Macaca fascicularis: one gene and its partners. The protein of the gene in region 6 binds, or shares a complex with, the protein of the main gene of each other region. Links are inferred from orthologs where the notes say so. Each region holds a gene or a part of one and is shown on either strand. Other genes may lie near its edges. The genes, in order: KBTBD4, CDK2AP1, CDK2AP2, DNTTIP1, PHF12, HDAC2 and HMG20B.

The links.
Region 1: the proteins of HDAC2 (region 6) and KBTBD4 are in contact, whole or in part, in a cryo-EM structure (PDB 9GGM), measured with the Homo sapiens proteins. The link is inferred for Macaca fascicularis from reciprocal best matches to the Homo sapiens genes HDAC2 and KBTBD4. Residues at the interface, in NP_001518.3 of Homo sapiens: Gln27, Gly28, His29, Pro30, Asp100, His142, Gly150, Phe151, His179, Lys201, Gly203, Glu204, Tyr205, Phe206, Gly208, Asp231, Gly269, Asp270, Arg271, Leu272, Gly273, Cys274, Tyr304, Arg307, Asn350, Met351, Thr352, Gln354; in NP_060565.4 of Homo sapiens: Cys290, His291, Ser309, Arg312, Arg313, Trp326, Pro329, Pro331, Arg332, Asp333, Arg334, Thr355, Gln357, Ser361, Ala363, Val373, Trp374, Thr375, Glu376.
Region 2: HDAC2 (region 6) and CDK2AP1 share a complex: the UniProt entries of both Homo sapiens proteins name them as parts of the nucleosome remodeling and deacetylase (NuRD) repressor complex. The link is inferred for Macaca fascicularis from reciprocal best matches to the Homo sapiens genes HDAC2 and CDK2AP1.
Region 3: HDAC2 (region 6) and CDK2AP2 share a complex: the UniProt entries of both Homo sapiens proteins name them as parts of the nucleosome remodeling and deacetylase (NuRD) repressor complex. The link is inferred for Macaca fascicularis from reciprocal best matches to the Homo sapiens genes HDAC2 and CDK2AP2.
Region 4: HDAC2 (region 6) and DNTTIP1 share a complex: the UniProt entries of both Homo sapiens proteins name them as parts of the histone deacetylase complex. The link is inferred for Macaca fascicularis from reciprocal best matches to the Homo sapiens genes HDAC2 and DNTTIP1.
Region 5: the proteins of HDAC2 (region 6) and PHF12 are in contact, whole or in part, in a cryo-EM structure (PDB 8BPB), measured with the Homo sapiens proteins. The link is inferred for Macaca fascicularis from reciprocal best matches to the Homo sapiens genes HDAC2 and PHF12. Residues at the interface, in NP_001518.3 of Homo sapiens: Gln27, Tyr202, Gly203, Leu212, Arg213, Pro228, Met229, Arg230, Thr356, Glu358, Tyr359, Lys362, Ile363, Arg366; in NP_001028733.1 of Homo sapiens: Met21, Gln25, Met298, Asp299, Cys300, Leu301, Glu302, Pro303, Pro304, Leu305, Thr306, Ala307.
Region 7: HDAC2 (region 6) and HMG20B share a complex: the UniProt entries of both Homo sapiens proteins name them as parts of the BHC histone deacetylase complex. The link is inferred for Macaca fascicularis from reciprocal best matches to the Homo sapiens genes HDAC2 and HMG20B.

Annotation. Positions count from the first base shown.
Region 1 is NC_088388.1:18,265,441-18,268,322, forward strand, and holds the end of KBTBD4 (kelch repeat and BTB domain-containing protein 4), read left to right. Parts: intron 1-787; coding exon 788-1,648; 3' UTR 1,649-2,382; downstream 2,383-2,882. UniProt on the Homo sapiens protein: Substrate-specific adapter of a BCR (BTB-CUL3-RBX1) E3 ubiquitin ligase complex which targets CoREST corepressor complex components RCOR1, KDM1A/LSD1 and HDAC2 for proteasomal degradation.
Region 2 is NC_088385.1:130,400,111-130,404,283, reverse strand, and holds the start of CDK2AP1 (cyclin-dependent kinase 2-associated protein 1), read left to right. Parts: upstream 1-1,373; 5' UTR 1,374-1,570; coding exon 1,571-1,625; intron 1,626-1,968; exon of another isoform or gene 1,969-2,292; intron 2,293-2,895; exon of another isoform or gene 2,896-2,998; intron 2,999-4,173. UniProt on the Homo sapiens protein: Inhibitor of cyclin-dependent kinase CDK2. Also acts as a component of the histone deacetylase NuRD complex which participates in the remodeling of chromatin.
Region 3 is NC_088388.1:6,866,904-6,869,935, forward strand, and holds CDK2AP2 (cyclin-dependent kinase 2-associated protein 2), read left to right. Parts: upstream 1-1,203; 5' UTR 1,204-1,227; coding exon 1,228-1,434; intron 1,435-1,528; coding exon 1,529-1,661; intron 1,662-2,014; coding exon 2,015-2,082; 3' UTR 2,083-2,532; downstream 2,533-3,032. UniProt on the Homo sapiens protein: Acts as a component of the histone deacetylase NuRD complex which participates in the remodeling of chromatin.
Region 4 is NC_088384.1:101,822,109-101,826,196, forward strand, and holds the start of DNTTIP1 (deoxynucleotidyltransferase terminal-interacting protein 1), read left to right. Parts: upstream 1-1,288; 5' UTR 1,289-1,356; coding exon 1,357-1,461; intron 1,462-2,034; coding exon 2,035-2,105; intron 2,106-3,270; coding exon 3,271-3,367; intron 3,368-4,088. UniProt on the Homo sapiens protein: Increases DNTT terminal deoxynucleotidyltransferase activity (in vitro). Also acts as a transcriptional regulator, binding to the consensus sequence 5'-GNTGCATG-3' following an AT-tract.
Region 5 is NC_088390.1:34,392,910-34,396,409, reverse strand, and holds part of PHF12 (PHD finger protein 12), read left to right. Parts: intron 1-294; coding exon 295-438; intron 439-1,775; coding exon 1,776-1,874; intron 1,875-2,983; coding exon 2,984-3,066; intron 3,067-3,500.
Region 6 is NC_088378.1:17,995,119-17,998,618, forward strand, and holds part of HDAC2 (histone deacetylase 2), read right to left. Parts: intron 2,350-3,500; coding exon 2,275-2,349; intron 1,808-2,274; coding exon 1,669-1,807; intron 1-1,668. UniProt on the Homo sapiens protein: Histone deacetylase that catalyzes the deacetylation of lysine residues on the N-terminal part of the core histones (H2A, H2B, H3 and H4).
Region 7 is NC_088393.1:4,289,502-4,293,514, forward strand, and holds the start of HMG20B (SWI/SNF-related matrix-associated actin-dependent regulator of chromatin subfamily E member 1-related), read left to right. Parts: upstream 1-1,213; 5' UTR 1,214-1,303; intron 1,304-1,555; 5' UTR 1,556-1,573; coding exon 1,574-1,611; intron 1,612-1,937; exon of another isoform or gene 1,938-1,957; coding exon 1,958-2,066; exon of another isoform or gene 2,067-2,113; intron 2,114-2,168; exon of another isoform or gene 2,169-2,647; coding exon 2,648-2,851; intron 2,852-3,812; coding exon 3,813-3,933; intron 3,934-4,013. UniProt on the Homo sapiens protein: Required for correct progression through G2 phase of the cell cycle and entry into mitosis. Required for RCOR1/CoREST mediated repression of neuronal specific gene promoters.

The DNA of each region.
Region 1 (2,882 bases), on a different chromosome or scaffold from region 6:
GCGCCTGACCTAACCTGGTCTCTTTTTGATGGCCAGGTTATGAATGGTCATCTGTTTTTGTTTTTGCTTTTTTTTTCTTTTTTTTTTTGAGACAGAGTCTCACTCTGTTGCCCAGGCTGGAGTGTAATGGCATGATCTCAGCTCACTGCAACCTCCACCTCTCGGGTTCAAGCAATTCTGTCTAAGCCTCCCGAATAGCTGGGAATACAGGCGCATACCACCACGCCCAGCTAATTTTTGTATTTTTAGTGGAGACAGGGTTTCACCATATTGGTCAGGCTGGTCTCGAACTCTTGAGCTTAGATGATCTGCCCACCTCAGCCTCCCAAAGTGCTGGGATTACAGGTGTGAGCAACCGCGCCTGGCCATCTCTGTTTTTTTAATTTTTTATATTTATTTATTATTTTTTTGAATAAGTCATCTCTGGCTTGAAGTTGATGTAAGCTGGGGAGAAGGATGTCTTTGTAACCCCAGAACCACCAATCTATGAGCTCTCAAAGTTCCTTGAGAACTACTTTCATCAAGTTAACAATCTTAATCACCCTTTGTCCAAAGCACCAGTTTATGAGAGTTTTAAAAGTTACAAGGGTGAATACAAGATTCTCCTCCCGGCATAAATTGCCTCAAAGAAAGTGACTAGAGGACAGTTGGATGCCATGCAGTAATTAGAGAGTAGTATGTTAAAGCTAGGTACAGGTGTAAAGTCCGGGATCTTAAGGATATGTGTCTTAGCAGAGCCTTAGCCTAGAACTTAACAGCTGTCATATAATTTTAATTTTGCCAATAGGAAATTGGGGAGAATGTGCACATTTACCTGATTGGGAAAGAGTCATCTCGTACCCACTCGTTGGCTGTGTCCTTGCACTGTGCAGAAGATGACTCCATCAGTGTAAGTGGCCAAAACAGCTTGTGCCACCAGATCACTGCGGCCTGCAAGCATGGTGGAGACTTGTATGTGGTGGGAGGGTCCATCCCACGGCGCATGTGGAAGTGCAACAATGCCACCGTTGACTGGGAGTGGTGTGCTCCTTTGCCTCGGGACCGGCTCCAGCACACCCTGGTGTCTGTGCCCGGGAAAGATGCCATATATTCACTGGGTGGCAAGACACTGCAAGATACCCTCTCCAATGCAGTCATTTATTATCGCGTAGGTGATAATGTGTGGACAGAGACAACCCAGCTAGAGGTGGCTGTGTCAGGGGCTGCTGGTGCCAACCTCAACGGGATCATCTACTTACTGGGGGGGGAGGAGAATGATCTGGACTTCTTTACCAAACCTTCCCGACTCATCCAGTGCTTTGACACAGAGACAGACAAATGCCATGTGAAGCCCTATGTGCTGCCCTTTGCAGGCCACATGCACGCAGCTGTGCATAAAGATCTGGTGTTCATCGTGGCTGAAGGGGACTCCCTGGTATGTTACAATCCCTTGCTAGACAGCTTCACCCGGCTTTGCCTTCCTGAGGCCTGGAGCTCTGCCCCATCCCTCTGGAAGATTGCCAGCTGTAATGGGAGCATCTATGTCTTCCGGGACCGATATAAAAAGGGGGATGCCAACACCTACAAGCTTGACCCTGCCACTTCAGCCGTAACTGTCACAAGAGGTATTAAGGTGCTGCTTACCAATTTGCAGTTTGTGTTGGCCTAAGGCTGTGGGGAGGGGAGGAGAGCTGCTCACTCCTTTTCCCTCCCCATCCAAACTCAAAGTCCCCCGGGCCCCAATTCAGAGTAATGTATTTTTTGGCACATACTAGAAAGGCAGTGCCTCAGCCCTTCCCTGAACCCATGGAGGTGTTCTGTTTGGGGCTTTTTAGACTGCTGCTGCTCAGCTGGTTGCTTGAACTGACAGTAGGCCAGCCTGTTCTCTGCCATCCCCTAGTCATTGTGTGCCTCACCACAGCTTGCTTTAGAGCAAGCTGTTTCTCAGACCTTAGGCACAGCCTCTCCTCTTTACCTGATCAATGTTAAATATAAGCACCCCTGATCCCAGGACATAAGGAAAGATGCCCAATTGTACTTTTGTTCTATAACCTATGAAATGGCTAGTTGATCATTTTTCCACAAAGAATTAGGTGTTAAGAGTTTTCCTTCGGGCTTTACTTAGGAGTATGGACTAAGCTGAAGGTGTACTTCACCAGCAAGAGTCAACTCTAGAATTCAGGACGTTCCTTCTATTGTTTTCTCATCCATCTGTCAGGAAATGTAACTTTGGTTTTATTTTTGGCTTATTCCAAGGGGTAAGCCAGAAAATAGAAATGATTATTTCTGATTAATAGCAGAAACTTTTTCAAACTCAAATATGTAAGGTGTCTGCTCTTTTAAAAGCTCTAAGCTAAGTCAAGAGCTAGGAAGTGTTGATACAAATAAAAGTTTTTGAAGGGATATGTGTGTCTGTGTTGAATTCCGAAGGGGTGACTTTGAAGGGGCGAGAGTGTTTCATTCCCTCAGGGGGACTCCTTACGTACCATCACATGGCTCAGTCTGCAGCAGTCCTGACTGCGCCCATGCTCCCACTTCTCCAGACAGGATCCCTACTCCACAGGGCCAGTGACACTCAGATTCTGACAGTGGCAAAGACCCAGAGCTGAGTTTCCTTTTTTCTAGTGCTAAGTCTTTTGAGTTGTGGTGCTAAATATTATTAGGCACAATATTAGGTACATAATAATAGATTTTTGTTAAAATACTTCTTTAGCTCTATTCAAGAAAAGAAGATGGCCCCATCCCTGTCCTGTATCCCATGAATACAAGCCACACTAAATCTTTTCCTTTCTAGCCACACAACAGTGTTATTTCAAGAAAATGAAACAAGACAGAGAAAGCAAAATTACCTATTACCTATTGGCACATTTTGGTTATGTCAAGTCTGGGCTTAAGCCCTGTGG
Region 2 (4,173 bases), on a different chromosome or scaffold from region 6:
AATTCATTATATAGTGAAATCATGCTGTTCTGGAGCTATTGTTAAATAAAACATGTTAAAATCAATTTCACCGGTGTTTTTTTACTTTCTCAAATGTGACTACTGAAAAATTGAAAATTACTTATGTGGCTGGCATGCTATTTCCATTGGACAGTGCTGCTCTAGAGGACTAGGCGCCTGGGACCAGCCACATGGGTGGCATTAATTTATTCATGGAATAAGGTTTCACTGAGCATCCTTCGCTAGTGCTGGTCTACAGCTGATCTCAAGGGTGGGGGTTAAGCTGGGGAGGGGGTGTCGTCGCCTGCACCTTTGGTCCTAAAGGAGAAGGCAGGCCTGGGTGGGCATCCCTAGGTGGGTGCTTTTGTTACCAGATCCGGAGATGATGCTTGCACGGCTGTGTCTAATTAAATCTGCAAACCATGGCGATTAAAAACAACAGAAAAGGGTGGGCATCTTATGTATTTTAACGAGCTTTACTACTTCGGCAGAACTCCAAAATTAAAAAAAAAAAAAAAAAAAAAAAGAAAAAGAAAAAAAAGAGAACAAACCCACAACCTTTAGGTTATTCATCTAATCCAAATCCAAAATACACTCGATGATTACATTTCAATCAGATCCGAAGATGGGCTGGGGGTGGGGTCGAAGGAAGATTTAAATTGCCCCGTAAAACTCCAGGGGGTAGAAACTTTGCCAAGTTCAGTTCTTGTATCCTCAGCGCTTGGAACAGTGAGTGGCGCATAGTAGGTGCTTCCCTTAAATACTGGAGTGAGTCTACGCACGAAATTGTGCGATTCAGGGGTGAGTTTTCCGGGAAGGGGGATGAGGGGTGGAGAAGGCCTCTAGCTTTTGTCAGTCTCACAGGAGTCTTGGATCCCCAAAGGGTTAAAAACCACTTCATAAAGACAGGGACATGAAATTTATTTGAAATCAATGTCAAGCATCAGTTATTCGAATCCTGGGGCTTGGCCAGACCCGGGCGTCTGGAATGATCTACGTGCTTAAATACACCACTCGCCACCATTTTCTCCAGGTAATTTTCCATCCCTGCCCCCACCGTCAAGGGGAAGAAAGTGCTCCTCGGATCCCGGCCGCCCTGGCCTCCTGCAGCTGCCGCGGGGGCGGCCCCCAGTGCACCCCTGGAGCGCCCGGCGCGGGGCGGCCGCCCGGACGCGCGCGGGCCTCAGGCGCCGCCGGGACCCCAGCCCCCCAAACTTTGGCAAGTTGCGGGCGCCGAGCGCACCCGGAGGCGCGGGGCGCGGCCGCAGGCGGAGCCGCCCCCTGACGCCGGGCCGCCCCCTCCCGGCCCCGGCCGCCCCGCCGGCTCCGCGGAAAGTTTGCGGCCGCCCCTGCGCCGCGCCCGGGGCCTGGGTGAGACTGCGGCGGCGGCAGGGCGCGGACGGCCATATTTGCCGGCGCGGCCCGAGCCGCCGACAACAAAAAGTGCGCGGGCGCTCGGCGGGCGCTCGGACGGGCGCGGGGCTGCCACGCTGCCGCCCGGCCTCGCCGCCGCCGCCGCCGCCCTCGCGGCCTGGCCCCGCCGCGCCCGGCGCGCCCGCCGCCCGGGGGGATGTCTTACAAACCGAACTTGGCCGCGCACATGCCCGCCGCCGCCCTCAACGCCGGTGAGTGAGCCGCGTGCGACGCGCCCCGAGCGCCGCCAAGTTGGGGGTCCGCGCGCCCAGCCCCGGCCGGGGGATGCCGTGGGCGCCCGCGGAGGCCGGGGGCGGGGGGCTCAGGGTCCCGGCCCGGGGCAGCGCTGCCGCCGCCATGATTTCCGAGCCCGCGCCGCCAAAGTTCGCTGGTGCGCCCCGCACGCCGAGGGCCTTGGCTGGGGGTGCGGGGCGGGCGGCCTGGGGTGACCCCCGCGCCGGCGGCTGCGGATCGCAGGGAGCGCGGCGGGCGAGGGCGAGGGCGGGGGAGGCTTGTTCTCGTCTCCTTTTTCCTCCCGCTTCTGGGCGGCTCGGCGAGGGCCCCTGCCGGCGGGAGTCGGGAGCGGCCCGGGCCGCGCCGGGAGCGGGGAGCGGGGCGCGGGGCGCGGGGCCCCGCCGCCCTGGGGAGCGGGGTCGTGGAGCGGCCCGGGCGGGAGACGCTGCGGGCAGGGCCAGGCCCCGCGCGGGCCGGCGCGGGCGGAGGGCTGCGGGGCTGCCGCGGGCCCTGAGGTCGTGGGGCCGCCGGGACTGGGACCGGGATGGGGTCGCCGGTGGGCAGCGGACTCGGAGGCCGGGGGGCCTCGGCCGGGCGCGTGGGAGCAGGGACTGCCCCATGCGGTCACGCGGGGATCCCCGTAAGGTGTGCGCGGAGTGAACGAAGTTGGCGCAGTCCTGGGGCTGCTAGGGCCCGCGCGCGGGCGTGGGGGCAGGGGGTCACGCGGACGCCCCATCTGGGAGCCCCCAGGGCTGATCCGGGAAGGCCCTCGATGCAGAAGCCGGGAGGGGCTCCCCTCGACCTTCCTGGGGCTGCGGCGGCAGCCGGGCGCTCCCAGGAAACTCCTCCAGAAGTTGTCAGGCAGCTTCGGGCTGAGCCCAGGGGACCGAGGGAGCCATGGGGAGTGGGCGCAACATTGAGGGATTGGTAGGTGCCGGGCTTTGTGACCTCACTGGGGCCCCTCTTCTCTGACACTTGGTCGGAAACAGACTTCCCAAAAGGCGGTTGTGTTGCGGGGCGTGGGGGGTAAGGACTCGGAGGGAAAGGAGTGGCCCCGTTGGTCACCGGTGCCACGCTGGCTCTCCTGCTCGAGTTTTGGGCCTTGTTTGCAAACGTTGACTTCATAAACCTCCCACATCCGAAGTAGGACCCATAAAAACGATATTTAAAAAAACCTTGGACACTGAGGTGTAGGGGCAGGAAAGGGTTAATCGTCAGGGTGCTGAGGGAGAGTTGAATTGCTCACTTGTGGGCTCGGAGTCCCAAAGAGCAAACAGCCACTGTTTTCTTCTCAAACATTCTCACCTCCTCTGGGGTCCGCAGACCTTACAAAGACGGGCTTTGTTGCCAGGTAGGACTGCCAGCAGCGTTCTTCCTCTGGCCTGTGGGGAGGGCAGGGGCTGGTGTTGCCAGCCTGGGCAAGGCTGACAGCTCAGGCTTGACCTGGTGTCATTGGGGCCGGGGCCTTAAACTGGGACCTTCAGGGTTTGGGGTCACAGGGATAGCGGCACTCACGGGGACCCCTGAAGTCCTGTTCTGAGCTGGCTGCACCTGTATTCAGCTTTTCTTCTCTTTCTCCTGTGGAGAATTTCAGGAGTGCCGAGATCCCCAGATCTGGGCTTTTTGGTGCCCCTCCCTCTCCCCCATGGACCCTTTTGCAGAACCCCAGCTCCCCTCCTGCCATTTGCATCCAAGATGGACTCTCCGCTGCTGCCGCTGCTCCTCCGGCTTCCTTGTCATCATCCCTCACGCCCTGCAGCCCTGCCTCCTGCTCACGGGTTGCCAAGCCGCGGCCTGGCCGGTGGTGGCAGTGGCGGAGTTAGACAAAGCCCCCGCCTCCCCCGCCCCAGAGCCCCCCAGGCGCCCCAAGTGGCGGGAAGGCCGCCAGCTCCCCAGGCCCCGGCGCTCTTTGTCTGGCGTGGGGGCGGGGAGCCGCGCCTGGCCCCAGGAGCTTCCTGGCCTCTGCCAACCCCTCGCTCCTGCACACTGCGCTCATTGTCTGAGATGCGCCGAGACGGCCTGCGCTGACGTGGTCCCTGTGTCCCGGTCCCTGTGTCTGCAGGAAGGAGTGACCATGAGTGGAACTCGGGGCATTTCCGCCATCTCTCTCCAGGACTAGACACCCCCCACCCAACCCTGAACAAGGGACTGGCCTGGACAGAGCATTGGAGTCACCGAGCTATTGCTCCTCGTCCCCCCAGCCAAAATGGGACAATTTCTCATTCCTCCTTCCTCTCAGCCCCGCAAAACCTAACCCCAGTATCATCAAATAGTAGGGTCTGGAGCCTGTAGACCTTCTCTTGGGAAGCACTGCCTCTAACAAATGGAGAAACTGAGGACTGGAGGGCGGGGGGCCTGTCTGAGGTCACACAGCCAGGAGTGGCACAGCTGGGGCTGGCGCCAAGTCCAGTGGGGAGGACAGAAAAGGAGAGGTGAGGAGCAGTGGGCAAAGCAGTTGGGGAAGAGGACGGGGGCACACCGAGTTGATTCGAGGGTGCGTGGGAAGTGGCTAGCGCCCCTCCTGCC
Region 3 (3,032 bases), on a different chromosome or scaffold from region 6:
GTGGGGGTGGTACTGAGATTCGAACCCAGGCGGTTGGCTCCAGTCTGTGCTCTTGACCAATTTGGTCCGGTGCCCGGCACACAAGTAATCCCTGTTTGCCCTACGGCCATTATCACTAACTGAGGCAGCGGCGCGGGGCCTTGGGGGTGAGGGCAAAGGGGTCCTTGAGGTCGCCCTTGGACCTGAGGACAAGCCAAGCCTCAGGAAGAACGGTGCGCGGCGGCATAGATGAAGGGCCCGTTGCCATGGGAACAAACGCAGGCCTCGGGCGGGCGCATGCGCAGATCGGGGAGAGGGTGTTGAACCGGTGAAAAGTGACGTAAAAGCGCACGGGGTGGGGCGCGGGGCTCGGGACGTCAAAGCCCTGCGTCCTTCGGCCCCCGGAGCAGAGAAGCGCGCACGGCAGCGGTGACAGCGGCCACGGCAGCGGCGACAGCAACCCCTGCTGGGCCGAAACTGGGCAGAGCGGAGCAGACGTCTGAAGCAGCGCTAGTGAGGCGCGAGGGTGGCGCCCGCGCCCGGGAAGACCCCCTCGGCGCGAACCGGCGGCCCAGCCCCGGGTCCGGGTTCCCGAGGCCCCGCCTCTAGGGCCTGGGGACTAATCGGATTGAAAGCGCGCCGGCCCGGGCCGCGAACTCGCCAATTGCGGAGGGCGGTGGCCACCGCCCAATCCGGAGCAGACAGGTGCGAGGTCCGGAAGGCGGAGGCCAATCGGCGGCGGTTGCGACCTGCTGGGGCAGGTCTCGGCCAATAAGGAGGCTCGAGTGACATCTTCGCCCACCAATCGGGAGTGAGGGAGCATTCGTGCCCGCTCGCCCTTCCGGCCAGACCTCTATTTACCAGGGGCGTGCAGCCCGCTTGCCAATCAGAGCGCGGCTGAGCGGCCCGGCAGCCAACCCCCGAGGAGCGGCCGGCTGGCGTCCGCCGCGCCCAGGAGTTGGGGATGTCCTACAAACCCATCGCCCCTGCCCCCAGCAGCACCCCTGGCTCCAGCACCCCTGGGCCGGGCACCCCGGTCCCTACAGGTGAGGATCCAGCTCCACCCCTGCTCGCCTGCCGGGCGGTCGAGGTCTCGAAGAGAAGACGGCCTGAGTTCTGCAATACTGGGCTTGCCGCCTACCCTCGCTGAGCCTCAGTTTGCTGGCCTGTGAAGTGGGCGTGGTCACGTAAGGGCTTGTAGGTGGAGCGCAGTGGGAGGGATTTGTCCCTGAAGTTGATCAGCCTGGAATGAAGCATCCTTTGGAGGGAATCGGGCGAACCCGGTCCTGGGCTTGGAAAAGCTGGGAGGCGGCGTCCCTGCCCCGCGCTGACCTCTTACTCGCGCCTGTTGCTGCAGGAAGCGTCCCGTCGCCGTCGGGCTCAGTGCCAGGAGCCGCCGCTCCTTTTAGACCGCTGTTTAACGACTTTGGACCGCCTTCCATGGGCTACGTGCAGGTGAGTGGGGCCAAAGGCTTGCTTATGGATGGGGACTGGAGTCCCCCTCCCCGCCAGGTGCCTGAGCTCACTGCCCTGTTCTCTTTTGACATAGGCGATGAAGCCACCCGGCGCCCAGGGCTCCCAGAGCACCTACACGGACCTGCTGTCAGTCATAGAGGAGATGGGCAAAGAGATCCGGCCCACATATGCTGGCAGCAAGAGCGCCATGGAGCGCCTGAAGAGAGGTAAGTGAGGCCAGGCCGCCCTGCTTAGGAAACCGACACTGGACTATCTTCCATTAGGGAAAGAAAGACATCCGGAGGCCACCTGAGCCAAGCCTAGAGGAGGGCCAGTATTACTACCCAGAGAGGTGTTTTGAATCGAATTGAAATTGCGTCCATTTCCAGGGAAGAGCCTGGGAATTTGTACTTCTACAGGGCAACCTTGAGGATTAACCAAACCTCTAATCTCATCTAGCCGTCATTAGTTTGGAATTTCTCTTGCTGAAAGGGGAAAGGGAGTGGGGAGGCAGGGGTCCTCCTCTGGAGGGCAGTGGGTGGGGCTGTGGAGCGTTGCTGAGACCCCACCCCACCACCAGGTATCATCCATGCTCGGGCCCTAGTCAGAGAGTGCCTGGCAGAGACAGAGCGGAACGCCCGCACGTAACAGGAAGCGCCCCGGCCTCAGCGTCTGGACCTTTCCCGGCCACTGCAGAGCACCCGCTTCTCCCTGGCCTTCATCCCGAGTTGCACTAACCATCCTGGGCTTCCTGTCCTGTGTCCCTTGGTGGGTCCCCTCCAGGAACCAAGGAGCGGCTCTCCAGGTGGCAGCACTAAGGACATCCCCCCACAACAAGAGTTAGCAGCGAGGTCCCCATGAGTCCCACCCATGACCTGCCAACAGTGTTGCCCACCGGAACTTTCTGTGGTCCCCACCGCTCAGCCCTTCCCAGCCCTTCTCCCACTTTGTCCCGAGCGTCCTTCTCCCCCAGCAGGGGCTCAGGCCTGGCACCTCACTGCCTTGTGTCCTGAGCCATAGTGACTCTTTTATCTGTGTGTCTTTTGCTAAATATGCCCTTTTTATATTAATAAAAGATGATTTGGAGTTGTGCTCTCAGCTCTGAGCCTTTCTGGGTCTGGTTCTTCAGCTAAGCCTGGGTGGGCCAGGCAGAGAAAGGGGAAGAGGAGACTAGGAGTGGGGAGGGTGTGACTAAACAGGGTTTGACTTGCCTCTGTGGGCCATCAGCCTCAGGTGGGAACCGGGCCCTCTCCGCCCCAGCCGTGGCGCTGAGAGCCCTGGGCCTTCCTGTGGTGCCACCAGGGGGCAGCACAGGGCCTGGCTGCTTCCACAGCCCTTGGCGCTATGGGCAGCCTGGGCCTGGAGGGCGCTTCCTCTGGATTGGCGGTGATGCCTGGCAGCATGGAAATGCCAGTTCACGTAAGCCACTCCCTCAAACGCCCTAATGCCCTGACAACACCCCAGCCTCTGAATCAGCCCTGAAGGTCTCTGACTCCTCAGAGAGAACGGGCACTGCTGCTTCCAGCCCTTGGCCTCACAGTCAAGGGGAGGGGCTGGCCGGTTGCTGCTGTCACTACCCCAGCACCTTGTAGCAGGCT
Region 4 (4,088 bases), on a different chromosome or scaffold from region 6:
AGATCATGCCACTGCACTCCAGTTTGGGTAACAGAGTGAGACTCTGTCTCAAAAAAAAAGGCGGGGGGAGAAACTATCAAAAACCTACAGAAAGGCAGTAGTTGAGTTTGTTAAGAACTAATGAAAAAGCACCAAACACCTACATCTTTGTCCCTCTAGCCCACACAGGCCATTCTTGGACTGTATGAAGGCTAGCTGGCAGAACTCAAGAGAACAGTTGCTATGTATGACTCAGATAGTCTGCCTACATATACCACCTTTATTTCTTTTTCCTCTATTTCTTTTTTTCTTTATCTGTCCTCTTTATGCCTTTGGTCAGCTGTGATACCCAATGGTGTCCACTGGCACTGCTTAGTCCTATGGGCAGGTACAAGGTTAAAACCTCCCTAATAGGATGAAAAAGTTTGGAGCCAGGAAGTTGCCCTTATTGTTATAAGATTGATGTTGGCTCATGGAGATAATTAACATTTGTTGATGGCCTAACATGTGCCTAATATGGTTTTTTTTTTTTTGGGGGGGGGGGGACAGAGTCTCCCTCTGTCCTCCAGGCTGGAGTGCAGTGGCGCGATCTCGGCTCACTGCACAATCTCGGCATAATTAACATTTGATGACGACCTAACATGTGCCTAATACGCCTGTTTTTTTTGCTTTTTGTTTTTTGTTTTTTTGAGACAGTCTCCCTCTGTCGCCCAGGCTGGAGTGCAGTGGCGTGATCTTGGCCCACTGCAACCTCCGCCTCCTGGGTTCAAGAGATTCTCCTGCCTCAGCCTCCTGAGTAGCTGGGATTACAGGCGCCCAACATCAGGCCCGGCTAATTTTTGTATTTTTAGTAGAGACGGGGTTTCGCCATGTTGGCCAGGCTGGTCTCGAACTCCTGATTGCAAGTGATCCTCCCGCCTCGGCCTCCCAAAGTGCTGGGATTACAGGCATGAGCCACCGCCCCTGGCACAGCATATTAAAATCTAGTCTTCAAACACTGAACTGCAGGCGTCGCTGCACCAAACACTTCCCTCTGCTCCCCAACCCCAGCCTACAGAAACCAGCTCCCCTCCTCCTACCCCGCAGTCATCCACAGGCCTTGGCCCAGCGGGAAACGTCCCTTGACTGAACCGCCACTGAACACCCACACTCCACAATCGAGGGGCAGCCCTCCCGAGAGGAAGCCCCAACGACCTCCAACCACAAGGCGTCTAAGTGTAACTGTCCCGGGCGAGGCGCGGCGGTTCGGTTCCCATGGTAACCCCGCAGCTCCTGCGTCGCGCTTCCGGGCGGACGAGCAGCGCGCCTCAGTGACGTCACGGCGCCACTTTCCGGCCGGTGGCAGAGTCCGGCGAAGTTGTGGTGGCCTGGGGCGCCATGGGAGCCACTGGCGACGCCGAGCAGCCGCGGGGACCCAGCGGGGCCGAGCGGGGCGGCTTGGAGCTGGGGGATGCGGGCGCAGCGGGGCAGCTGGTTCTCACGGTGAGGGCGCCCCCGGTGAGGTCTGGGCTCGGGCCGGGCAGGGCCTCGGGGCTCCCGGGACCCTGGCCCGCGGGCGAGAACGCGGCGGCTGCAGCTGCAGAGGGGGTTGGCGTTTTCGCAGCCCGACGACCTGGATTCAAATTCTGGTGCCGCCCTCCTAGCTAGGTGACGTGGGCCAGCTCTGTCGACCCCCTGAGTCCCCAGATCATCTTCTATAAAATGGAGATGATTAGTACCTGTCTCATAAAAGTTGTTGTGGGATGGGAAGATAAAGGCGGGTACAGCGCCCAGGACATCACCTGACACAGAGTTGACCCTCGGTAAACACTGCTTCCCTTCCTCCTGCCGTGCCAGAAGGCAGGGTCGGGACTTTTAAGGCAGGAAACTTCCTCAGTTCCTCTTTTGTGGAGGGGGCCTTCCAACTGTTGTCCTCCCCCGATACCCCAAGGCGGGAGAGATGGTGACGGATCTGAGAAGCAGGAATGTTTAGGTTTAACTTCATACCCACCCTCCACCTCCACCCCACGCCAGTGTCACAGGCCGCAGTGACATTTGTTCCGTTGGTCCCCACAGAACCCTTGGAACATAATGATAAAGCACCGGCAGGTGCAGCGGAGGGGCCGCCGCTCACAGATGACAACAAGGTAAGGCTGGCCCTGCATGGGACTTGTATCCCAGCCACTGGCTTGCATGGCAGCTTTGGGATCCCCAGTGCACAAGACTATGGAGATCTACAGCCTGTAGAAAGAGCACAGGACTGAGAAAGAGGAGACTCCGATCCTGTAACTCTGTGTGATCTTGAGCTAGTCAAGTCACTTCCTTCTCTGAACTCACGAAATGGGGAAGGGCACAGGAGATGGGTTGGGGAATAAAAAATACCTAAGACCCCTCACATTCACTGGCTCTGTGATTGAGGGCTCTTAAGAGGTCAGTTAGCATGGAGTTTAAGAGCACGGGCTCTGGAGTCAGACAACTGTGTTCTCATGCAGCCTCTGATGAGCCCCTGTTTTCTCAACTATAAAGACGGATTAATAGTATCCATCTCAGGGAAGGGAGAGAGCACAAGGTGGGCCTTTGGGATGCTGGTAGTGGTGAATTGGATGTTCACTGTAATTACTCATTAAAGTGTATAGACTTTTCTGTATAATAAGTATTATATTTCATAAAAACACTTTGGGCCGGGCGCAGTGGCTCACGCCTGTAATCCCAGCACTTTGGGAGTCTGAGGTGGGCGGATCACCTGAGGTCAGGACTTTGAGAACAGCCTGACCAACATGGAGAAACCCTGTCTCTACTAAAAATACAAAAAGATGGCCGGGTGCAGTGGCTCACGCCTGTAATCCCAGCACTTTGGGGATCTGAGGCGGGCAGATCACCTGAGGTTGGGAGTTTGAGACCAGCCTGACCAAGGAGAAACCCGGTCTCTACTAAAAATACAAAAATTAGCTGGGTGTGGTGGTGCACACCTGTAATCCCAGCTACTCGGGAGGCTGAGGCAGGAAAATTGCTTGAACGCAGGAGGCGGAGGTTGCAGTGAGCCAAAACCACACCACTGCATTCCAGCCTGGGCAACAGAGTGAGACTCCGTCCAAAAAAAAAAAACTTTGAAAATAATACCCACTTCATAGAGTTATGAGAATGAAATAAAGTCATGCCTTTGTGATTTGAACAAAATCTGAGCATGTAGCTAGTTTTCAGTAAAAGTTGTCTAGTATTGTTAAAGAATTCTATGTCCATAATTGACTGGGCAAGGTGAGAAAGAATATGTTTCGGACATGCCCCCTCACCCTGTCTCCCTCCTGAATGCAGTTTCACAGATCCTGCCATCTCTATGGATCTCCTCCGAGCTGTCCTGCAGCCTAGCATCAATGAGGAGATCCAGACTGTCTTCAACAAGTACATGAAGGTGAGAGGGACACAGGATAAAAAATAACGGGAAAGACTCATGAGGAGCCCAGTCCTTCCTTGCATCACCAGTCCGTCTCTTTCCTACACACAGATATCTAAAGTTTTCCTTTTGTTTTTTTGTTTTTTTGTTTGTTTTGTTTTGTGTTTTTGAGACAGAGTCTCACTCTGTCACCCAGGCTGGAGTGCAGTGGCATGATATCGATTCAGTGCAACCTCCACTTCCCAGGTTCCAGCGATTCTCATGCCTCAGCCTCCCTAGTAGCCAGGATTACAAGCGCCCACCACCACACACAGCGAATTTTTGTATTTTTAGTAGAGACAGGGTTTCACTGTTGACCAGGCTGGTCTCAAACTCCTGACCTCAAGTGATCTGCCCGCCCACCTTGGCCTCCCAAAGTGCTGAGATTATAGGTGTGAGCCAGCGCGCCCGGCCAGCTTTCAAATTTTTAATCCCCCAAGAATTTTATCCCTTCCTTGAGGGTAATTCAGATATCTTTTTTTTTTTTTAAATCTGCCCTTGTCACTCACTGTCACGTTTTTGTTTTTGTTTTTTTTGCTGACTTCTTGTAAGGATGAAATGACTTAAATGTACTGTGCTGAGCACTGCACTTAGGACATAACAAGTGTCCAGTAAGTACTTCTATTAGTTGTTTAATAATATCACCATTATTGGGGCCATGCACAATGGCTCACACCTGCAACCCCAGCACTTTGGGAGG
Region 5 (3,500 bases), on a different chromosome or scaffold from region 6:
CCCCACAGACAGGCAAGTGGTTTATTCCACTCTGCCGTTCTAGGAGCACTATTAAAATCAATTCACCCAACTACAGGAGGCAGCAGCACAGGCTGCATTGGGACCCATCTCACTGCAAATAGCAAGTGAAATGCCCAGCTGCAGATCCTTGTATGCTCTGTACTCAATGCTGTTTAAGTAAAAGTTACTTGACTGGATTTTAGAAATGCCGAACTATTTGCTCTGTGACCCTGATTTGCTTCCACATTCCACTTCCATCTCAGCAGCTTTTTAATCTTTCTCTTTGGCTAATAGAAATCGAGATAAATATGCTGGACGAGAAGCTGATCAAGTTTCTGGCCTTGCAGAGAATACATCAGCTTTTCCCCTCCCGGGTCCAACCTTCACCGGGCAGTGTCGGGACACATCAGCTGGCTTCTGGAGGGCACCACACAGAAGGTGCGCATGTACACACCTGTCACCACATCATCAGATCTCCCCTCTACGTGTGCGAATGGTCACCTTGCCTCCATGGAGAATCTGAGCTTCCAGTATTCAAATCTTCTTGTGTGCTTTTCATGGGCTTAATAAAGCACCATGGTTTTTTTCTGAAGAGAGCAGGAACAAGATGGCAACCACAGCTTTCTTATCAGACTTGGGGAAGTCTGCTGTAACTTTCTTTCATATATAAGTCCACTTTGAGACACAGCAAAGCAGCTACCAGTACCTTTGGGTATATGTAGTGTACTTTCTGCTTACTTGCTTTCAAATATTTGAATTAGAAGGGCTTTCCGACTGAGTGCAGTGGCTCACACCTGTAATCCCGGCACTTTGGGAGGCTGAGGCGGGAGGATCACTTGAGCCCAGGAGTTGGAGACCAGCCTGGGCAACACAGTGAGACCCTATCTCTACAAATAATTTTAAACTTAGCCAGGCATGGTGGCATACACCTGTAGTCCCAGCTGCTTGGAAGGCTAAGGTGGGAGAATCGCTTGAGCCTGGGAGGTCAAGGCTGCAGTGAGCTATGATTGCACCACTGCACTCCAGCCTGGGTGACAGGGTGAGACCCTGTCTCTAAATAAATAATAAATAAATAAAATTTTTAAAAGAATGGCTTCCCAAGAAGGAACTTTTCAAGTTCAAGGTGAGAAATAGAATAACCGTAGGCCAGCCTTCTGGAAATTTTCCCCAAGTGGTTAACTCTGTTTCAGGTATGTCTGAGCACTGGCCATTAAAAGCCTTGCTGCTTCAAAGTGTGGTTCCCAGACCAGCAGCATCAGCAGCCCCTGAGAGCTTGTTAGAAATGCAGAGCTCAGTGCATTGGTTTTTTGCCTATTTTTAAAGAAAACAGCAAAAGAAATGCAGAGCTAAGGCCCCTCCTCAGACCTATTGAATCAGAATCTGCATTTCAACAAGATATGTAGGCAATTCATATGCACATTAAAGTTTGAGAAACACTGGTCCATGCGGTCTGTTTTTCCATGTTCTCCCTATAGTACCAGCTGGAATATCCCAGATTAGCCAACCAGGAGCCCAGGAACTTACAGAGTACTGTCATCTCTGACTTCTCTGACTATCTTCAAAGATGGTCCTCTGCACCCTGTGTTGGAAATGCTGTGGGTGGGGAGAGAAAGTCTACCCTGCAGCAGCTCAGTGTTGGATGTGAGTTTGGAAAGATGAGTCATCCAGCGGGATTTTCTCCAGGCCATGAGCCAAAAGTCCAGATTTTGTTGGTTTATGTTTGGATCACAGGATCTGAGTTTCTGAATGATCCTATTCCTATGTTTGTCTTGTAGTGCAAAGAAAGGAGGTACAGGCCCGAGCTGTGTTCTACCCCCTCTTAGGGTTGGGAGGAGCTGTGAACATGTGCTATCGAACCCTCTACATCGGGACAGGTGAGCCAGCCAGGAAGCTGGGAGAGACACTGAATCTGTTCAGCCCTAAAGACTGATACCCTTACCCACAGAAGTTAGAAAGGGGTGAGGGAAGCCCTTTCCAGAGTTGACTGCTTTAAACCAGTGGATAGCTAGACAAGAGAAATTAAGAATAGAGACAATCAGCCGGTCACAGTGGCTCACGCCTATAATCCCAGCATTTTGGGAGGACGAGGCAGGAGGAACACTTGAGCCCAGGACTTCGAGACCAGCCTGGGCAATATGGTGAAACCCCATCTCTACCAAAAACAAATACAAAAAACTTAGCTGGGCACATGCCTATAGTCCCAGCTACTTGGGAGGCTGAGGTGGGAAGATCACCTGAGCCTGGGAGGTCAAGGCAGTGATCCTATTCATGCCACTGCACTCCAGCCCGGGCAACAGAGTGAGACCCTGTCTCAAAAATAAAAGAGACGATCAGTTCCTTGTCTTCCCTTGTTCAGGCCCTTTTGCTTTGTCTTTGCCCAGTGTTGCATCAGCAGAGATGAAAGTCAGCTCTGACTACTGCCCAGGGAGGCACTTTAAACACTGCGGGGAAGAACCCAAGGAGAAGGCAGATGCTTTGTCCCTGGTGGTCTTTGAAAGAGTGATAGGCTCACACATACCCAATCTTCAGTTAGCCCTGTATCTGTTTTTTGTTTTGTTTTGTTTTCCCTAGAAGTCCTAGAGACAGATAGTTCTATATCTGGTACAGAAGGACAGACAGATTAGTCCTTACCCTAGAAACTTCCCTTTCTTTAAGGTGATATGATTTTCTAGGCTCTGCACCCTCTTGTTGTATTTTCATAGAAATATCCCATCCTCTTCAGTAGCTCACTGTTCCCTTCTGGGTAGCAGCCACATGTTCTAAAGCAGATCAGCTGGCAGGGACAGCTGTTCTTTATCAGGAGCTTGGAAAAGACATCAGTTTTTGTTCAAAAATAAAAGGGGAGGGCCCTGAGCTACTCACCCTTGAAGTCTCTGCTAGTGCCAACCCAGAAGCTAACTCCCTCCCTGTCTCACCTCCCCGACACATGCACCTTACAATCTGTTCTCTGCCTTCCTTTTCCTCTACTCCTGCCATCTTGCAGGAGCTGACATGGATGTGTGCCTTACAAACTATGGTCACTGTAACTACGTGTCCGGGAAACATGCCTGCATATTCTACGATGAGGTGAGGGCTGGAGATGCGGTGGGAGGGAGCTTTCCCAACCTAAGGCCTCTCCCAAGCAGTAGGTTTTTGCTCAGTGCCCTGAGGGGAGGGAAGAGGGATTGGGAGTCCTCTCCTTTTCTTCCCTGTCATTCCTGGAGGAGGACAGTCTTGATGTAAAACAGCATCCTACCAGGGGTACCTGCTTCACAGGAGCAGGGCTACCATTTTTCCTGAGGTTAGTCACAGGCACAGCAGAGGGAGCCTACCCTAAAGCAGGGGAGGGGACCAGCGTAGAAGGAAGCCAAGCCCTGTGGATGTGTCCCTGTGAATTTCATTATCATCATGGGCCAGTGAGTATCACACCAAGAGGAGCGGTGCTGAGAAGGCAGAGTGAAGGAGGATTGGGAGAGTAGGGGGTGTGGGACACCGGAAGGAAGGCTTCCCTGAGGAGGTAT
Region 6 (3,500 bases):
TAAAGAGCGTATAATAGTATAGCAAAATTTCTTCACAAAATTTAAAAAACAGAAATGAGGCTGTGATCAAGGTAAAGTTTCTGAGTGGCTCATGTGTTAGATAAGCAAGGAAAGCTGTGCACCAAGTCAATTTATTAAATCATGTTTGATTACACCACCCAAAAAAATTGTGTCCAGAGAAATTAAAGTTGTTTAAAACTATTAGCTGAGTGGGCAAGAACTTGCTCAAAGAGTTGAAGACACTGGAACCAACATCAACAGTCAATTAAAACACAAGGCAAATGATTGCAAATGATTTTCCTTTGCTCCTGATGAGCTGACAAGATGTTACACTGATCCTGCTCAATTACTGTTTATTTGAGGAGTCAGTATCAATTTTCAGTGACTGAAAAATCAGCCTCTATGGATAGCATGCATGGAATAACTACAAGCAAAAAACAGCTCAGTACAATATAAAGTAGAATCTGCTAAGATGTGTCATAACTGATGGCAAAAAATAACATTGCAAATGTCCACATTCATAAGTACCTCTACAGATCTCTCTCTCTCAAACTGCAGCCACAGCTAAGGAAAAATAACTCCTGCAGCAACTCAGAGATAATTTTATATCCATCAGTAGAGAACAAAGCCTCATTCACATATGGAAGTTAGGCAGTTAGACTAACTCAACAGGTAAACAAATTTCCTTAAATACTGGTTTCAAATTTTTGTCTTCAATTTACAATTTACAAAATACTAGAACATAAACTTCCAAGGTCATTGTCATTTTTTATTAGTTGAAACTAACTAAAATGAAAACTGCCAAACTACTTTTAAAAAAGGATATTTAATGGGAGTTTTGACATTTACATACACTTCTAATTCTTTTTTTTTTTTTTTTTTTTTTTTTGAGACAGAGTCTTGCTCTGTAGCCCACGCTGGAGTACACTGATATGATCTTGGCTCACTGCAACCTCTGCCTCCCAGGTTCAAGCAACTCTCCTGCGTCAGCCTCCTGAGTAGCTGGGATTACAGGCACGTGCCACCATGCCCAGCTAATTTTTGTGTTTTTAGTAGGATGGGGTTTCACCATGCTCGTCAGGCTGGTCTTGAACTCCTGACCTCATGATCCACCCACCTTGGCCTCCCAAAGTGTTGGGATTACAGGCGTGAGCCACGGGCACCCAGCCTTTTATACACTTCTAATTCTTTTTTTAAGGTAGGATCTCACACTGTTGCCCAGGCTAGAGTGTAGTGGCAGGAACATGGCTTCCTGCAGACTCTACTTCCTGGGCTCAGATACTCCCACCTCAACCTCCTGGGTAGTTGGGACTACAGATGCATGCCACCACATCTGGCTAATTTTTTTCTTGGCAGAGATGGGGTTTTGCCATGTTGCCCAGCCTGGTCTCAAACTCCTGGGCTCAAGAGATCCACCCACCTCAGCCTCCCAAAGTGTAGGGATTACAGGCCTCGGCCATAGTGCCTGGCCACACACTAACTCTTAATAATTGAAGATTTGGGCAAACTCCCTGCATTTCTTCATTGTTTTGTAATGAATTCCCAGAAAATTCACCATTAACTATTTCAACCTATGGCTTACCTGATTTTTTTTAAGCCACAGACTTTTATTGTGTTTTAATGAAAACATTTTATCACTGAAAAAAGTACCAATATAAATTAACATACTTTAGTAATTCAAGGATGGCAAGCACAATATCATTAACATAACAGAATCCTGATGCTTCTGATTTCTTAGCATGATGTAATCCTCCAGCCCAATTAACAGCCATATCAGTCTGTTGTCGGTTTAACTTCACGGCTCCAGCTAAGAAGTAGAAACAAGGTAGACTTTTTAAATATTTAACATAAAAAATTAGTACAACGAGACGAAAACCCTACAAGTGTATGCCATGCATAAGAAAGAGCTTAAAATCATAAAACTTAACAAAAATCATCTATGACATAAATAGGAGTTTCTCCTTAGAAAAACATTCTCCCAGAGCTGCGCCCTGAGATTAAATAATGGTTTATGTAGATGGTGGTACTAACAATGATAGCTAGAAGACAAGGGGGATGAAAGAAGTCTGTAAGTGAAAAATGTAAGTTACAAAAGTATTTAAGTCACAATAACAAAACAGAGGTTTGAAAGCAAATTGTACTGTACTATAAACATACTGATTTCCTTTTGTTATCAAAATTCACAATCATTAAAACTCCTGCTTTACACAAATAACCTGGAAGATACACACCAAATTTAGAACAACTTTTAAATCTGATTGTATTAGCACTTACCAACTGAACCACCAGTTGAGAGTTGACAAAACTCAAAGAGTCCATCAAACACTGGACAATCTTCTCCAACATTAACTGTGGAAGATGGATTTCATTAATTTCAACACACTCTGCAAATTAATGAAAGCCTTTTCTTACAAAAACTATTTCCTACAAATACTTTTTTTGCTTGATGCAATCATCAAACATACACTTCACAGTGTAATATAAAGTTTACAACTTTAAAATATATTTATTGTTTTATCCAAGGTAATTACAGTGTTATCTGTGAAAGATCATCATCAAATCTTATCAGGAGTATCTGTGGAATATTTCTGGTCTATTAACAAGAACTCAATAGTTGTCTATGCACAACAGTTCTCATTTAATTAAAACACAGGCTTAAATTTTCTAGACCTTTCCCCTTAATATTACAGTAAGTTAACATTCTAAAAGTAACTTCAATTGCTGTATGATTTACTTTCTTTAAAACTCCTTAAATACGTATTAATATCTGTAACTTTGAAATGCATGTCAGGAAGTTACTAAACCAAAAAGATGTAACAGCTGGTTGCCTATTTCCGTGGCTAATCTTGATCTTGAAAGCTTGTAAGAATTAACTAGGTTCATGGGAGCCAAAATACAGAAGGACATTAAAGACAACAAGGAAAAAACATATACAGATAAATAACACAACATCACACATTTAGTTCCTCAGTATTGACAGAATGAAGGGGATATGGCAGACATATATAACCCTTTCTTAGTCTTTCCCTATGCCCTTGAATTGTAACCTCTTCAAGAATAAGGGTCCTTGTTTTATATATTAATATCTTTGTACATCCTTAAGTCACAAGCACTATAAGAAATACATTTTAGTTTCTTACTGCTCAGATAGATCATAATTTTTTTTTTTTTTTTTTTTGGATACAGAGTCTCACTCTGTTGCCCAGGCTGCAATAGCGTGAGCTCGGCTCATTGCAACCCCCACCTCCGGGGTTCAAGCAATTCTCCTATCTCAGCCTCCTGAGTAGCAGGATTACAGGTGCATGCCACCACACCCAGCTAATTTTTTTGTACTTTTTTTAGTAGAGACAGGGTTTCGCCATGTTGGCCAGTCTGGTTTCGAACTCCAGACCTCAGGTAATCCACTCACCTCGGCCTCCCAAAGTGCTGGGATTACAGGCGTGAGCCACCACACCCAGCCAGGATCATAAGCTTAATATAAGTCATTATTATGCAGGTTT
Region 7 (4,013 bases), on a different chromosome or scaffold from region 6:
GCCAGAGAGGAAACCGACTTACGGAGAAAAAAAAAAAAAAAAAATCAGAGGCGAGGGCCTGGCTGAGCAGGTGACATTTGAGCGGACTTGAGGAAGAGGAAGGGGGCTGGGCGCGGTGGCTCACACCTGTAATCCCAGCACTTTGGGAGGCCGAGGCAGGTGGATCACGAGGTCAGGAGTTTAAGACCAGCCTGGCCAAGATGGTGAAACCCTGTCTCTACTAAAAATACAAAAATTAGCCAGGCGTGGTGGCAGGCGTGTGTAATCCCAGCTACTCGGGAGGTTGAGGCAGAGAATTGCTTGAACCCGGGAGGCAGAGGTTGCAGTGTGCCGAGATCGAGCCACTGCACTCCAGCCTAGGCGACGGAGCAAGACTCCGTCTCAAAAAAAAAAAAAAAAAAAAAGAGGAAGTGAGCAGCCCCCAACTTGGGTCTGATCCCCCAGAGCGGAGCATCCTGACCCAAGTTCACCAGGTCCTTGCAACCTCCCTTTACCACCATCTTTCCCCAAATACTTCCAGCCTAGCTCCCAACCCCACCCCCTGCCTGACCCACACGCCGTTCTCAGCTTCGCAGCATCCCAGCCTCTATGCCCTGGACATCGTGCGATGTCCCCATTGCACAGGAGGGAAAGCCCAGATCCCACTGGGAAAGCCGCCCCTGTGGCCAGAAGCCCTCGGATCCGGATGTCGGGGGTTCTAAACTGAATAAATAAATAGGAAACGTCTCCGATAGGTTTTGCAGGATGTTAAGAACAGGTCCCACCTTGTCCTAGGGCTGGGGGCTGCCTCACAGGAACTTAACCCTAGCACCTCCGTCCCCATGGCAACCGGGGCGGGGCCCGACCCGGATCCGCCGGTCTCGCCATCCGGCAGCTGCTGGGAGTATCGCCCTCAGAGCGGGAGGAGGAGTCGGCGCCTCACCTACTGGCCCTTTAAGAGGCTCCGCCCGGCAAGTCCGCCACGCGCTCCCGATTGGTCCCGAGCGCGGCCGAGCGCAGCCGAACTTGACGCACCGCCCGCCGCCTTCCTTACCAACCTCCCACGCGGCTCAGCAGCCTCCCCAGCCAATCGCCGGTCGGCGCGCCGATCGGTATCTGCATGGGCACGCCCCGGGGGAAGGCCTCACCCAATGGGACCGTTCGCCGAGGCCTCATTAGCATGCCGGGGGCGGGGAGGGGCGGGGCAGTCGGCGGGGGTGGGCTGCGGGCGGTTGGTTGGAGCGTCGCGCAGTCGGGAGGTCCGGGAAAGTTTCTTTGGAGGTGAAAACAGCCGCGGAACTCCGGGCCCTGCGAGGGGGCGGGGGTGCGGGGGTCCCAGGGCCGGGCCGGGGTCTTTCCTGGGCCGGAGGGAACCGGCCCAGGCCTCCCGGGGGGCAATCGCCCAACAAAGGATTCTTGGGGCGCCCGCCCTCGAGGACTTCCCCGCCCCCGGATCCGGCCCCCCCAGCGCTCCGGGCCCGGCATCCCGGGGCTCTCCATCACGGGATACCCCAGTTCGCGGTCCGCCATCAATCAGCCCAGGCGCTACTCAACTCCGCCCGCGTCCGTGTTCCAGGTCCGGCCCGGAGCAGCCATGTCCCACGGCCCCAAGCAGCCCGGCGCGGCCGCCGCGTGAGTGCACCGATTCCCTCCCCACGCCCTCGCTACCTTCCCGGCTGCAGCCCTAGCTCCTGAACCCCCGCCCCAATCACCCCGGCCGGGGTCTCGACCGCCCCCAACCTGGGTCAGGGGGCTTCTCCCTCCATCCAATCCTGCATACCCCACCTCGGCCTCCAGCCCCTCCCAGGAGCCCCGCTTGTCCCACCTTCCGCGGATACTGACCCCATCAGACCCTGCTTCCTCGGGCTCGTGCACTCTCGCAGCAGCCCCGTCGTCGGGGGTCTAAAAGCCTTGGGGTAGGCGTTTGGGGGAGGGGAGGCTCTAGGGACGGGGCTGACCTCTGTATCCTTGGCTCCAGGCCGGCGGGCGGCAAGGCTCCGGGCCAGCATGGGGGCTTCGTGGTGGCTGTCAAGCAAGAGCGCGGCGAGGGTCCACGCGCCGGCGAGAAGGGGTCCCACGAGGAGGAGGTGAGAGTCCCTGCGCTGAGCTGGGGGAGGCCCCGGGCTGCGGCCCCAGCCTTGAAGTCCCGCCCCAGGCTGGATTTGAATTGCTTGTGGCTCCGCCCACAGCCCAGATTTTCCTCCGGAAGCTGAGACCCCGCCCCGTGCGAGCTGCCACGCCCCTGACAGGTCCTCTGCCTCCCTAAGTCCAGGCCCCGCCCACCACACAATGCCAGCTCTGCCAACTCTAAGGTCCCGCCCACTTCCACTCCTTGGGGGCGGCACCCTCCCCATGGTCCTGTGGGCCCTTTCTCCAAGAAGCCACGCCCACCAAGCAGAGGCCACGCCTACAATCTAAGTAAACACCACCCCTGTGCTCAAACCTCGGCCCATAGTCTCTGGGATCCCCTCATCCCTGGCCAGGGACCCCTCTAAACCACCGTGTCCTGACTCCCGACTGGGCCCTACCTCCATCTCTTCCGGGTTCTTCCTCCCAACTAGGCCCCGCCCCATCCCCGCCCATACAGCATTAGGCCCCGCCCATGCCCCTCTGAGCCCCGCCCCAGTACGCCAGGCCCCCCTCCCAACGACGCAGCCCGGTTCTGCAGCCGGTGAAGAAACGCGGCTGGCCCAAGGGCAAGAAGCGGAAGAAGATTCTGCCGAATGGGCCCAAGGCACCGGTCACAGGCTACGTGCGCTTCCTGAACGAGCGGCGCGAGCAGATCCGCACGCGCCACCCGGATCTGCCCTTTCCCGAGATCACCAAGATGTTGGGCGCCGAGTGGAGCAAGCTGCAGCCAACGGAGAAGCAGGTGAGCGGGGCGCTGAGCAGGGCCGGCGGACCCCCGTACTACCAGTAGCCCCGACCCCCAAAGGATTCCACGTGCAGGGCTTTTCCTTCTGCCTGGTGAAATGCCCACCCATGACCAGTTTTTGTGTGTGTGTGTGTGTGTGTTTGTGTGTGTGTGTGTGAGATGGAGTCTTGCTCTGTTGCCCAGGCTGGAGTGCAGTGTCGCGATCTCGGCTCACTGCAACCTCCACCTCCCGGGTTCAAGCAGTTCTCCTGTCTCAGCCTCCCAAGTAGCTGGGATTACAGGCGCCAGCCACCACGCCCTGCTAACTTTTGTATTTTTAGTAGAAATGGAGTTTCGCCATGTTGGCCAGGCTGGTCTCGAACTCTTGACCTCAAATGATCTGCCCACCTCAGTCTCCCAAAGTACTGATATTACAGGCATTAGCCACCATGGCCAGCCCATGACCAGCTTTTGGGGGCGCGGCTAGCAAGAGGCAAGACAGATCGAAAACTGGGTGACCAACAAAGATATGTCTAAGAAGTCAGGATAAGGCCTGGATTTTTTGTGAAATCTGATTTTCATATACTGTTAGTTTAAAAATTGCAAAAACATCACGGAAATGTAACAAAACCACCACCGCTTTGCACCCCTGTAAGTGAAATTTCAAAGAGAAAAACGGGTGCAGGAGGGAGTCTAGGTATCCACATACCCTGGAGGTTGGGTGCCTGCCCATGACTCTGGCGCCCAGGAGTGTCTTGTCAGGGCGGGAGTTGGGGATGAGCCTGGGGCATGGGAAGTGATGTGGGAGCTCAGAGGTCCTTGAGCAACAGGCTGAGGAGCCGGTTCTGTCTGTCTGGAGGGAATAGGGAACTATGGAAGGTTCAGGAGAGGGGAGGGTGCTGTGAAAGCTGAGTGATGAAGACTGGGTCCTGGCGTTAGAGGCTTCCCCTGCCTCAGGTCTTTTGGTGCTGTTCCCTAGCGGTACCTGGATGAGGCGGAGAGAGAGAAGCAGCAGTACATGAAGGAGCTGCGGGCCTACCAGCAGTCGGAAGCCTATAAGATGTGCACGGAGAAGATCCAGGAGAAGAAGATCAAGAAAGGTGGGAGGGGTCAGGCGCGGTGGCTCACGCCTGTAATCCCAGCACTTTGGGAGGCCGAGGTGGGTGGATCATCTGAGGTC